3 linked regions of the Drosophila melanogaster genome follow. The protein of the gene in region 2 purifies or fractionates together with the protein of the main gene of each other region. This does not show direct contact. Each region holds a gene or a part of one and is shown on either strand. Other genes may lie near its edges.

Evidence for each region. The genes of interacting proteins can lie anywhere in the genome.
Region 1: the proteins of ND-20 (region 2) and CG12909 purify together in Drosophila melanogaster (affinity purification with mass spectrometry, with the first as the bait; one large-scale study listed by BioGRID). This does not show direct contact.
Region 3: the proteins of ND-20 (region 2) and ND-39 purify together in Drosophila melanogaster (affinity purification with mass spectrometry, with the first as the bait; one large-scale study listed by BioGRID). This does not show direct contact.

Annotation. Positions count from the first base shown.
Region 1 is NT_033778.4:10,308,286-10,311,662, reverse strand, and holds CG12909 (uncharacterized protein), read right to left. Parts: upstream 1,551-3,377; 5' UTR 1,429-1,550; coding exon 583-1,428; 3' UTR 520-582; downstream 1-519. Other genes in the region: Obp46a (Odorant-binding protein 46a), read left to right, coding at 1-13, 65-221, 280-491; RNaseZ (ribonuclease Z), read left to right, coding at 2,000-3,224, 3,283-3,377.
Region 2 is NC_004354.4:15,984,947-15,988,487, forward strand, and holds ND-20 (NADH dehydrogenase (ubiquinone) 20 kDa subunit), read right to left. Parts: upstream 1,863-3,541; 5' UTR 1,792-1,862; exon of another isoform or gene 1,738-1,791; 5' UTR 1,731-1,737; coding exon 1,065-1,730; 3' UTR 527-1,064; downstream 1-526. Other genes in the region: Slc25A46a (solute carrier family 25 member 46a), read left to right, coding at 1-419; eIF5 (eukaryotic translation initiation factor 5), read right to left, coding at 2,339-3,043, 3,122-3,541.
Region 3 is NT_037436.4:20,490,390-20,497,603, reverse strand, and holds ND-39 (NADH dehydrogenase (ubiquinone) 39 kDa subunit), read right to left. Parts: upstream 5,523-7,214; 5' UTR 5,390-5,522; intron 4,363-5,389; exon of another isoform or gene 4,114-4,362; intron 2,942-4,113; exon of another isoform or gene 2,683-2,941; intron 2,258-2,682; exon of another isoform or gene 2,253-2,257; 5' UTR 2,125-2,252; coding exon 2,085-2,124; intron 1,980-2,084; coding exon 1,529-1,979; intron 1,447-1,528; coding exon 1,081-1,446; intron 1,013-1,080; coding exon 619-1,012; 3' UTR 520-618; downstream 1-519.

The DNA of each region.
Region 1 (3,377 bases), on a different chromosome or scaffold from region 2:
GACGTACATGTTTGTGAGTTCGGTTGAGGAGCGTAAACAAGTACCAAACTAATTGCTTAATCAGTGCACCGCAGAGTGCAGTTTCAACAGTACGAACTTCTTGGGCAGGGACCGCCGTTCACTGAATCTCAATGAGGTAAAGGAGCACTTGGAAAGCGACCTGGTCAACGATGCGGACATTAAGCTTCTCTATGACACCTATGTCAAGTGCGACAAGCATGGTGTGCAAGCTGCGCGAGTTGTTTATTAAATCATCTCTAAATGAACTACCCTTTGCAGCGCTCTCACTGATGCCGCACAAAGGTGTGAAGCAGCTATCCAAACGTCTTTCGCGTCTTGGCTGTCATCCGTATCCCGGACTGGTCCTCGAGTGCGTGGCCAACGAGATGATCCTGCACTGTCCCACCAAGCGCTTCCGTCAAACAGCCCAGTGCGAAGAGACACGCAATCATTTGAAGCAATGTATGCAGTATCTAAAGTACAAGTCCTAGATGTGGGATTAATACATGGGCACCACTTCCAGCTTACACGTTTATTGTCCTTTTGTTATAATTAAACTATGACTAAAGGTGGGATATTCGGCTAGCTAGCGATCTTAACTATTTCACCCTCGACTTCCAAGGAATCGGCGAGCTTAAGTTGCTTATCAAAGCGTTTCTGAAACTTCTTCGCCTGTTTTTCGTTCAAATCCTCGACGGACAGATGCTTGGCATACTTCTTGAGCAGCTTCTTACGAAGTTTTTCCAGGAAAATGCCATCTGCTTGCTTGGTAACGATCTTAGTTAGCTGGGCGGCCCAATCAAAGTCGCTGGTCACGCCGTTGGAGGTCTCCTCGGCAGCAGCATCTTCTGTGGTCTCCACTTTGGCCTTCTTCTTGGGTGGCGCCTCTTCCTCGACCTCTGCCTTCTGCTTCTGCTGTATTTCAGCAATCTTTTCCGCCTTGGCTCTGGCCAGCTCCGCTTGCTTTGCCTCCTTCATCTTGTTCAGCTCCTTCTCGAGAATATCCCACACCTGGGTGGCCTGGTTGCGGGGCATGCGCATGCAGTTTCCCACGAAGTTTTCGAACTTAGCCTTCTTGCGGGGCACGTTGTCGACGCTCTGGAGCTTTTGGAAGGCGGATCGAACGGCTGGAGTTAAATTGTACTCGCTGCTGTCGAGGATCGACCGAATGATGTCCATCCAACTCTCTTGCTTTTGAGCGTTCTTGTTGCGGGGCTCCTTGGCGGCAAAGCCTTGGCTTTGGCTGGCGTACTTCTGGGCCTCTGAGATGCACTTAATGTGTGCCACATACTCCTCGCCATAGAAGTCCTTTAGGCAGTCCATGCAGGACACGTTCTTGTCTTTGCCGCGACAGCGCGTCTGGTAGTGCTTTTCCACCGCCGGTTTCTTTACCGACTCGCCGCAGATGTTGCACGTGAAGAAGACCATGGTGTAGCAGTCGCTGATCTCTTGTTTACCGGGGAATCCTTGGAATTTCAGGTAATTTGGTTGAATTTACCGCCGGCGGAGGCCAAACAAAACGCACGTGGGCATTAGAGTGACCAATCACGTTCGAGGCTTAAATACCTGAAATTCAGTGTTGCCTAAGACCGATTTCAAGTACGCAAATAGGAATTTACTTAATCTAACATATTAATTTTTAATTCAACATTCATTGATATGGTTAATAATAATATAAAGTTGGAATAATTTACTGCCCTTATTTATTAAAACATATCTAGAAATTCCAAAACTGTAAAATACAACAGAAAAATATAATCAATTTTCTAGACAAGAATCATTTTAACTTAAATTTAATTCCTTTTAGCACTTTTCTTCTATTTTTTACTATCGTCCCATTTCGATGTATCGCAACCATCAGCGTGCCATCACTAATAGCAACAGCTGTTCGCAGACACACGTTGCCGGTGCTGACGAAATTTGTGCGAATGATTTCAGCGAATTCCCCGCTTTTTCAGTTTATTAGAAGCCCGCGACTACAGACTCTGACGAAATACGAATGTATTTAGTAAAATCAGCCAGGTCGCCGATCTACAGAACCTTGCGAACGCTCACAACCAGTAATTTGATGGCGGCCACAATTGCCTCGGCCAAGGATCCTTTAACAGGACCTCGCTATGAGCGGGAACCCAATGTGCTTAGAAAAAAGCTGGCCTCCGTGGTGCCGGGAACAGTAAATCTTCAGGTTCTGGGCTCTGGCGCCAATGGAGCGCCTGCCGCTGTTTATTTGTTTACGGACCAGGCACGCTATCTCTTCAACTGCGGCGAGGGAACCCAGAGACTAGCTCACGAGCACAAAACCCGCCTATCACGCCTGGAACAAATTTTCCTTACACAAAATACGTGGGCTTCCTGCGGAGGGTTACCAGGTTTGACGCTCACCATCCAAGATGCCGGAGTGCGCGACATTGGACTCCATGGACCGCCTCATCTCGGCTCTATGCTGCAGTCAATGCGACGTTTCGTGGTGCTAAAGAATCTCCAGGTGCGGCCAAACGATTGTTCTGAGGGCGCCTGTTTTGAGGATTCCATCTTGAAGGTGGACTCTCTGCCCCTGATCAATTCGGAAGATCCGACGAAAAGTGTAATTAACTACATTTGTCAGCTGAAACCGCGAGCTGGCGCCCTAAACTTGGTGAAGTGCGTGGAGCAAGGTGTGCCGCCAGGACCACTTCTGGGACAGCTAAAGAATGGCAACGATATCACACTGCCTGATGGAAAGGTGGTGCGTTCAGTCGACGTCACCGAAGCCAGTGAAACTGCACTGTCCTTTGTTTTCCTTGATGTGCCCAGTGAGAACTATCTACCAGCACTGCTTACACACGGCAAAAGGCTTAAAAAGTTAGGCGAAGAGAAGTTAACTGAAGTGGCGCTTGTGGTGCACTTCACGCCTTATCATATATCTTCTCGTCAGGTGTACAAGGATTTTGTGGTGGAGAGTTTTTCATCTGAGGCACAGCACATATACTTAAGTTCTCCCCTCAACCAATTCTCAGGCTATGCAGCCGCCCATCGCATTCAACACCAACTCCACCAACTGGCACCGCAAGTATTTCCACTCCTGGGCGAACAATTGTCCTGCCAGAGTCAGACTCTCAGTCTAAACCTTAAAAAAACGAAGTTGGACGAGGCCGATTCGGAGGACAAAGCAAATGCAAAGGCTAACGAGACAGAAGAACAGGGTGTGGTCGCCATGACAAACTATCACCTGAGACCAAGGAAAGGTTGGTACTATTTTTTACTTACCATTCAATGCTATAAGTATATTTTTATTACCTGAAGGTCTGGATCGCACTCTTGAGTCCAAACTCACACCAGAGGAGTATGTTAAGGAGACCCATGCCGTACCAGGATTTCTGGAACTATTGGCCAAATTC
Region 2 (3,541 bases):
TAACCACTGAGGTCATGTTCTTCCCGTTCGAAACGATTCTACACCGTCTGCAATTGCAGGGAACACGAACTATAATCGACAACCTCGACAATGGCTACGATGTCGTACCCATTCTAACAAACTATCAAGGAGTCGTCGATTGCTATCAGACAACGATTGTCTCCGAGGGAGTTAGTGGCCTCTACAAGGGCTTTGGAGCCATGATCCTGCAGTTTGCGGCACACGTGGCCGTCATCAAATTGACCAAATGGGTTGTGAATCAAATCGTAGAGGTCATCTCCAACCGACCACCACAGCGAATAGTGAATTACTATAATCTGGATGAGAATGCTTGCAACTCCAGGTCCACGACCTTGTCGCCAAGCCTTTCCAGTACCGAAATGGGGGAGATTAGTCTTGGGCAGAATTCACAAGACTAGTTAATGGCTAGTCAAATTATATTGCATATGTAAATTATACAAATATTTATTTCTTTTTGTATTTTTCGTTGGGTTTATTGGGACGTTAGCATGAATAATTGTATTTTAAGGGTTTGCTTACTCTGCAGTTGCGTTAAAAAAAAATCTGCCAATTAAAAAATATAACTATTTTAAACACTTTAAACTGAGCTTATATTCTTGCACTTTGTGTCCCGAAAACGTCAGGACCTTGAAATGAATACAGAAAAATTAAGTAAAAACAGCAGATTGTCCTGTGGTTGGTGCGATCGTTTCTATGACAACTAAATGATATGGTTGTGTATACAATTCACGATAAAAAAAAGAGGAAGGAGCCGTTAACTTCACGCTCATTTTGAAGGGAAACAAAACTTTTTTCGAATTCACGATTTTCATTACGACCGTTGGCAAACACACGTACGATTCAAGCTGACGTTTGGATACAGAAGCACAGCTTGAATGTTTGTATTTATATCGAAAGGCATTTATTTGCAATATCCTCGTGATCCAACAAACAATGTATACAACAACTGAACGTTAACAGAACGATATTTAATATGATTTCTGTTCGCAAAATCGTATGTCGTTTGATGTTTCACATTTTAAATATAAGTTCCGATCGTTGCCTTACTTCCTATACCACATCTGGAGCGTCTTCATCCGCTTAACCTTCTTCTGCAGCTGCAAAACGCCGTACATGAGCGCCTCGGCGGTTGGCGGACAACCGGGTACGTATATGTCGACGGGGATTATCCTATCGCAGCCACGGACGACGGAGTACGAGTAATGGTAGTAGCCGCCGCCGTTGGCACAGCTGCCCATGGAGATGACCCAACGTGGCTCGGGCATTTGGTCGTAGACCTTTCGCAGGGCCGGTGCCATTTTGTTGGTCAGCGTGCCAGCGACGATGATGACATCGGCCTGACGTGGAGATGCACGGAACACAACACCATATCGATCCATGTCGTAACGCGGAGCAGCGATGTGCATCATTTCGACGGCACAGCAGGCCAAACCGAAAGTCAGTGGCCAGATCGAGCCCTTGCGACCCCAGTTGAGCAGATCGTCCAGTCTGGCCAGTGACCACTCCGCAACGGAGGACTGTTTGGTGCCGAACGGAGAGTAGCCCTTCTTGGGCAGATTTTGGGCCACTTCGGCAACTGGAAGCGTTTGTTGTTGGCGCACCAGGGCCAAATTCAGAGCGGGCAGCGCCGAAATCGACGCATTCGGTGTCTGAGTCGCCTTTTGGAGAGCCCGGGACAGGGTCGATGACATCATCGCCGAACGCAGCATGTTGATCCTGCTAAAGTAAATCTGTAGTTATACTAGGACTGGGCATTTAAACATTTAATACCTATTTATGTAACTTCAACTTATTTCGATTTATAGGGGATGCGTATGATGTGACCGCCGCCGAACTACTAACTAAAATACCAAATGCACCAGGAAAATATACTATAAAATACGAATTTACTTTAGATATCCTATTCTCACACAAGCACATCACTTGCGGCAGCATGAACTTTATGCCCTTTTCCCACATGAACGCAATGGTTGGCTAAAAAAATCAACTTGCTTGAAGGTCATAGCTTAAGCTGACCAAAAGGCAAGTAAAAAAGTAGTTATTAATGTTTTTGTTTGCTTTATTTTGTAATATGTTGGTGTAATTCTATTGTTACAGCGGCTTGGGAAATGTTATGCAAACAATTGAATGGTAGTAAAGCGACGACTCAAAATACGATTAGCACTCTTAAGAACTAAAGATAAAAAAAACCACATGTTGATTTAACTCGCTAATTTATATTTCAGTTTGAATTGTAGATTATGCTTGCTCGCTTGATTTTCCCCCTTTTAAAATATTACTGGTTGGATTAGGGTAGCTGTTCTCTTTTTGATTCCTTTTAGATATCGTCGATGTTCACGTCGTCCTCGTCATCCTCGTCGCCTGCAACAGCGCGTGGAATTCCGCGTTGGACGACCCGTTGACCGCCACGTTGGCCGGCACTGGAAACGTAGTTATCCTCCTCGGATTCATCGTCCTCCTCCTCCTCACTTTCGGAGGACTCTTCCTCGGCATTCTTCAGCCAGAGAACGAATGGCATAGCTTTCTCGTGTATTTCGGCAGCAATATTTTTCGAGACATGTCGTTTGCTAACCTTCTGTGCCCACTCCAGTATGACGGCCTCATCGAGTATGTCCAGATCATAAAACAATTTGAAGATTCCAGCAACCTTGCTCATCAATATACCCTTATGCAGCTCTACAGTTTGCTCCACTCCACCAATTAGATAGCGCTGTGCTTTTGGATTATTGAGGGTGAAGCGAAGAAGCAAAGGGCGATTCTTCTGCACGTCCTTGATGATGTTTTCAGTGAAAAGCAGCTCGGCGAGAACCAATGGAGCCTTGTTAATAATATCCAAGCGTTCGGCTTCAATCACCAGCTCCTTGTGAGTTTGCACATCATCCAATTGCTTCTTGTCCCGCTTGTCCTTAACCAACTCGTAGAAAATATCAATGCGCTCCTTTTCAGTTTTATCATAGTCATCCGAAATAGTCATACCCTTAGCACCATCAGTCAGATCTTGCAAACGAGCACGAATAGCCTCCTACCGGGGTGGAGTAGTAATATACATATGAATAGCTCTTTAAGCTAATTGCGAGTATATACGGATTAAACAACGTACCTTCGAAACATCGACACTCCATCCCTCATCGTCGTCATCCTTGGCTGTTTTCTCCGGAATAGCTGCGCTAATCTCGGCCTCAGTTTGGCTAGCCTGATTTGTGCCGTTGCCGCCATCTGATTCACCGCCAGAGTTGTTGGCCAAAGAGTTATTGGTCATGGAGCCATCGGCGTTATCGTTCTTCTGCTTCTGTTTCCTCGAGCGTTTGCCCTCGGTTAGCGATGATCCTTGGGCGGCCGGATTCAATGACGGGGGGTTCTTCACAATGAATGTGTTCACTTTATGGTTAACCTTGAGCAGACCATGGAAGCCGCATGCCTTGCAAGACTGCGAAATGGTCTGGTTTTTGGCCGACACAGTTAAATTGGTCTCCGGATTGTCGCACTCGGGGCATAACACAAACTTGCGAATAAAACCATC
Region 3 (7,214 bases), on a different chromosome or scaffold from region 2:
ACTCACTCTCACTCACACGCACAAAAACGCGAAAAGAGAGGCGGGCGCGCGCTTGTGTTGTTGTTGATATATTCTTTTTTCACCGCTTAACCAAGCTGAAAAGTTGAAAATCTTTACACACACCAAAAACACACACACACACAGACTCAGAAAACTTGGGAAATCGAATTTTCCGTACTATGATTTTCCGGCCATAAATCTGCACGGGCGTAAGTTTCGGAGGAAACTGCTGCAGAAAAGCTCCTGGTCGCAAAGGAAGAAAAATCGGACGGGCGAAGCGTTGCCAGACGATGACAGCGATTTCATTTGTTTTGATTTAGTTGCCGGAGCGATGTCACCTCAATAAGATACCGAAAAATACCAAAGGTATTTCGAGCTGCCAATCTTTTTTCCGACATCAAACTTTTCTAGCCATTTGACTTTTTTTTCAAAAGTATTTATAAATTTTTTTATATTTAAATGCACGAAATAAATACATATATCAATGTCTATATAATATTTGGAAATATAAGTTTCCTTCGTTGTCATTGGGTCTTTCGACTTCTCTTTATTGACGCATCGCCTTAAACAATTCCAACTAAAAATTTCCAATCAACACAGACAGCTACTTCGCTCCGCTTAGGCAAACAGACGCAGTTCATCGCGCGCCTCGATGCACTTGGGCGGCGAGGGAGTCTCGAACTCGCCCAGCTCGGCGTCGTAGTAGAGGGCGGCGCGGTAGGGACGCAGCTCCCATGGCACCTGCTGCTCCATTGTGGTCAGCGTGACGCCCAAATCCTCAAGCGTGGGGACACCAGTCAGAACCTTGTCGGTGACAGCCTCGCGTTCGATGCGAGCGGGATGCAGACCGCCAATCGGGGTGCCGGGGCAGATGAAGCTGTTCAGCTTGGCTTTCAGCAGGAAGGTGGGGTCCCAGCGCATGTCGTAGCGCATGTAGCCCCAGCGCTTCTGGTCCTTGCGCATCAGGCGGTGGAACCAGTCGACCAGCTCGCTCAACTGATAGCGTTTAGGTCTGCAGAGAATAAAGGAAATTAAGAAAATGTACATGGTACAAATACTTGGACTCGGAGATTGACTTACCCCACAGCCTGGTAGATGCGGCCAGCGCTGTCCGGATCCTTGGCGGCGTTGATGATGGCCTGGGCCACGTCCGAAACGTAGACGGGCTGCTTGACGGTCTTCTCTCCCTTGTGCCACAGCGGCATCGAGCGGAACTGACGGCGCCAGATGTGGGCGTAGTAGCGCAAGAAGCGATCCTCGGATCCGTAGATATCCGCAGGGCGGATGATCGTGGCGTTGGGAAAGGCGTCGCGTACGCGAAGCTCACCCTCGTACTTGCTTTTCAGCCACTCGCTGCCGCCCTTGACGTACAGATCCTTGGGATTGGCCTCCACGTTCAAAGAGGACAGGTGGATTAAGCGCTCCACGCCAGCCTCGCGCGCAATCCTGAAGAAATAAAAGTGGTTTACGTCATGCAAAGTTAGAATGAAGAAGTGGGCAGGCAAATAATGCTGGCTATGATGTTCACCTAGCGATCCTCTCCGCTCCGTTGACATGGACATCCTTGAACTTGAAGTTCTTGGTCTCGAAGTCCCTGCCCACCAGGTTGATGACCACGTTCGAGTGCTTGACTGCGTCACGAATGGAGGCGGGATCCTCCAGGTTGTAGAAGTGAAAGAGTACCTGGCCAAGATCACCGGTGACCTTAAGACGGATAACATCCGAATCGTCACCGCGATAGGGCAGGATCATCTGGGTGCCAGATTTGCCCAGTTTGTTGCAGACATAGCGGCCCACGAAACCGGTGGCACCGAAAACGGTCGCCACGATCCCATTGAAACTGCTACGTCCGCCAGTTCCGCGCTTCATGGCAGCCGGATTGGTGGTCTTCAGTGGACGTGGACCATCTTCCGGCGGCGCAGCAGCGGCGGAATATCCACGCAGGCACAAAACTCCAACCACGCCACTGCCGTGGTGCTCTAAGTATCCGGAATTGGACAGAGAATGAGCCAAAAGTTAGCCACAAACATCGTATTACATAATTGGATTGCCTGGCGGTTTTCGACCGCAGGCACGGTACTCACTGGCCAGCTGGAGATTACGGGTTAGTACTATGGCGGCCATTTCGCACCGGCACACTGGACCAACTCGATTCGGTTAATTTACGCTTAAAATCCTATTTTATTTCGGAACAGGCCAGTTTTTTATTTTGCCCCACGACAGTGTGACCGTGGCGTAGCAATTGGAATATACTAGAATTGACAGGTTGATATCAAAAACTACCGTCAAACAAAGCTGCCAGACTGAAGAAAAACATTTGATTTGGAAAGTAACAGTTTTTTCTATAGTTTTTAAAAAGCCCTGTTAACCTAAAGTTAACCCTAAATATGTAAATAATTGACCTCATAACCAATAGACCGTGTTCGTGGCCATTGCATACCAAACATATTTTAATTATCTGATTATCAAATATCGGTAAATGCTACTACGGTTATAACTACTATGATCTCGAATTATTCATACTATTTAGGTGGCACTAATAATTTTACCTCATAATTACTTTGACAACCTTGGGGATATCTTAGCCTCTTAGCGGTAATTAAACCGTCATATAAACCACTCTTCTTGCTTGGCACTAGTTTATAAATATTTGTTGGCAAATAAGACATAAGCTAACCGTGTCCCAGTTGAAAAGTAACTGCCTTGCTTGTCACACCGCAAACTTTTTATCTAATGTGCGTGGCTTAATTGCAATTTCCAGCCCGCGGATCGTTTAATTCGGCACGGCTTGGGTTCTACGGACAAAGAATTCAGTTAGCAGTCGCCTTCGAGCTGTAAAACCGAGAGCATCGGGAAAACTTAGTGTTATCTGTTCGAAATCGGCCAACTAAGGATTAACTATTTCTACGGACCAAAAACACCGATAAGCAGTGAAATAAAAGTGAGCTTGTGGTGAAACTGTTCATAATGGATACACATTTTTGCGGTTATAAAGTGCGGACCACTAGCTAATTTGGTTTGAATGTAACAGCTTGGGTAAACTAATTAGTACCGAGGGTATATAAGTTAGTAATTTGTTTTTAGATTGGTTAAGATAATGGGATTTCAGGCGAATGCGACTGTCATGAATAACCTCCTTCGATACAAAAATATTTCTGGTATTGTAACATTACATTATACACATGCAGTGGGTCAGGATATACAAAAAATTATAAACATTTGTCAGTGTGTCAAACGCGTTCTTATACATATATATGTACGTATTTGTGTATAAAGAGTAAATTTCGTGTCAGATATTTCTATTGAATCACCCTGTCTAAAAATAAATAATAAAACACATTGTTTATATTATTGTTATAATAAAACACATTGTTTTTTGTTTGTTGACTTCAGTTGTGCGTTTGATAAGTTAAATATCTGCACAGATCACTGCTTTTGACAATTGAGGATGTAATTCTATAGAGATTACCATAGCTTCATATGTAAATATGTATTTATAATATTTATTATGGCATTGTTGTTGTCTCATAAACCTACCTAGATAACGACAATACAAACATACCTACATTTGACAGGCATAAACAAGCAACATATGTATAAATTTCACTCTCCTTTTTCTGCTCTCATTTCGCTCTCTTTAATAGCTCACATGCAATCAGCTGATTTTTTTTCAACCTGCTCACGCACTTTTTCGCCCACACAAATACTATCACTGTTGCTTTCTACCTCTCTCTTCCTTATCTCTGCTCCCCACCCTTTAAATTTGCGGGCTTTTCGTTTGTTTTGCCGGCCGTGGTTATTGGTGTTGTTGTTGCTCCTATTCGACCATCTCTCTTTGCCTTTAATACCCTTACGAAGAGTAACTCAAAAGTAAATAAATAAATAAATTAACTACTCTTGGAACATATCCGTTCTAGTGAAAAAATTAAAATTAATTTTAATTCAATTATGAATGCTCAGAATTATAATGAGGAAATCTTCTTGTTTTTGTAGAACATAGCTTTACTAGTATTATAACATTTCGAATTTCAATTAAAAGAGTACTTATAGTTCGGCATGGTGCTTCGGGTTTTCCGTTTATTTTGCCATATGTATATTTCTCGTCGTCTTTTGCGATCATTCGTGTTTGAGCCGCGCTGCAGTTAACAACGATCTGAATGATTCGCTCCCGAAAAAATTAGCGCGTGTGCCTCGAAATATTTTAAATCGCTAACGTGCGTGTGTGTGAATAATAATAATAATAATAATAACAATAAAATAGGAAAAGCTACATTTTCCAAAGCAATTTACGCTGCCGCGGTTATAATTAGAAAACGTAAAGCGAACGCAGGCCTTTTTTCGCTTATCAGAGTCCAAAAGACGGTAATTCTCCAGTTCTTAGCCACAGTATTAGGGGTCTAGACTGATAAGGGCTTTTCGGCCGTATGCGAAATTCGGCTTTGTATCTGGGCCCAGGAATCGGAAAAATACGCCCTAATGCGCGCAGTTTTGGATACTCGCAGATTGTATATAGATGACTGATTCGTTAGCGGGCAGATTGTAGATCCATTTAGCAAGTGATTATTAAGACGCCTCGCGCCTCTTGGCACCGATGTGAAAAAATATTGCCCGAAATATGTATTACTTCTGCGGTGTATAAAAATAAGTTCGATCGAAATTAATGCTAATTAACGGTTATATCTGTCTACGATCCACCTGCCAGTCGCATCGAGATTAAGCTAAAAACAAATTCTCACCCTTAGCTAATTCAATGGAAATTAATCCCGGGCCTTGGCTCAAGTTCTGAAGAACCCAGCTCGGCCGTGTTTCCAGTTCCAAAATATTATAAACAATTACTCTATGAAATAATAAACAAACTAATTTGTTTGCGATTGAGTTAATAATGCATTTTTGGTTGCACGGTTATATTAGCCAACTCAAATTATTAATCTAAAGAGTAGCGTGAGATCCAAAAATTTTACATTTATATTAAAAGAAAAATTATTATATTTTAATCTCTTACATAGAAAGCTATTATTGTATTTATTACTTCTATCACTGCAACCGCATTGTATGTTTATAAATTTAATTCAATTAGATTTGTCGTTTTGTAATTTCGAGTCATTAAGTGTAATTGAAGTGGGTCTTTAGTAATCAGCATTAATATCAAACTTCGTATTATTTTAATGGGTTTTTGTAAATCATCAAAAAATCTCTCGGACCCCAACTGATCACGTTTTCGATGAGGATGCAGGGAAAGCATACATATGTACATATATAGATATATACTTATGTATATAGGTGCAGATTGCACGTAGATGGTGGTGCATAAAATCGTAATTAAAATATTTACACTTCTTTGTTTATTATAATGGGAATATTTCATTGAATCGTGTGCTTCATCACTTACTATGTACAGGTGGTCAGGGTTGTGAATTCGCGAAAAAAAACGTGGATTGGGTTTCACTTTTATGATTATGGGCTAAAAAGCAGTAAGATACAAGCTGGATTTTTATAGAACACACAATTAGTACGGAAAATTTAGCCGAGTGCAATGCAATTTAACTTATAGCCTACTACTTACTAATATGGAATAACTTAAAATCTGCATACTTACTTTCGCCTAGTTGTTCCATCTTTATTAACTCTTATCTTACATCTTATATTTATAATGTACCTATGATTTTAAGGCTGTATTACCTAAATAAGTCATATTTACATCCCATATTATAAGAGAGCCCCCCTAAAAATATTAATTTCCACTTGGCAACATTTACCGGTGGCAACATCAACATTCCCCATCGAATCAATCCCTCGACTAGTGATGGCATTTTAACCCACTGAAAGCCGAGTTGTTTTCGATATTGTTTTCCAAATCGCTCTTATCAGTCAGACCTGTCCACTTACCACTTAATCACCTGGGGTGAGATAGCGATAGGGTCGGTAGACAACTATCTCTATCTGCTTATCAGGAGTCCGATTTTGGCGCGTTCGAAATGTTCAAATGCGCCTCATGGGCAACAAAGTAATAAAATATTGGCAGCACACGTTGTCTGTGGCCCACTGATAGACAATAACAATATTGATAGAATTTTTAAATAACACCGTTCCCTTGCGAATTAGAAATTCCAAAGGCATCGGCAACCTTGTCATCGTGTCCGAAATGGTCAAAATTGTTAGATTTTAGCTGCTGGTTGTTTTGAAAACAGGCCAGGGACCCGTATAGGAAGTATTTTTGTAATTCAGTTTAAAATCTACGCAAAAACCAATAGGCAACAAATGCTGTTTGTTGCCAAACTTCATTTGTATGCAGGCAATGGTCCGAAAGAAGCAAAAAATTAAACAAGCAAACAGAATTAATGCACCTGAAACCTGATGATGGCAAATCAAAACAAAAAGCAAATGTTATTGGTCCCGAATTTTACTGCACGCTTCACTTTTTGTTTATTTTTTCAATTAATGGAGTGAGCTGTTGCATTGGTCTAATTGGCAATTGAGCTGTCAACTCTTGGCTCAGATTTACGATCTGGACTTTACGCCATCTGAGAAGGTCCGGATTCGAGGGTAATCAAATAATTATGACAAAAGGGGTGAAAAAACATTCCATAAAAACCTTAAAATTTTGCAATTGAATTCTCGAAAGTAAAAAGATTTCTCGCAATACTAATCTGTGAGCAATTTCATTTTTGTAAAATAGTTGTTTAACTATACATAGCATCTATAAAATAACCAGATACCTGTTACTCAGATGTCGGGATGCATGCCTTGTCTCAACTTTTTACAAATATCTTTAAAAAAATATGTACGGTCAGACGGACGGACGGACATTCAATTGAACATTGGACTTATTCGCAATTAAATAGCTAGTTAACATACAAACTAAAAGAAATTTATATATAAATTTAATTACACGTTATAAGTTGTTCATTTTACTTGCCGATTGCTTCTGTTTTCACTTCAATAAATATTTCGAGTGATGTTAAATCAAAGGTTTAGCGGCGATATCAATAACAATACCGATATGTTGCATATTAATTTTCTTTATTTAAACAGTTTACCACCAGTAAGCATTAAATTTGAAAAAAAAAAATTCGCTAAATATACAAATCCAATAAATACGAGCAATTACTTTATTCAATCTAGCGTGATATGCCAACTTTTTCTTTTTTTTTTAATCGGTTTCGAAAACAAGTGTACATTAAATCTTTTACCCCAAAAAATGGCATTAAGTCTGT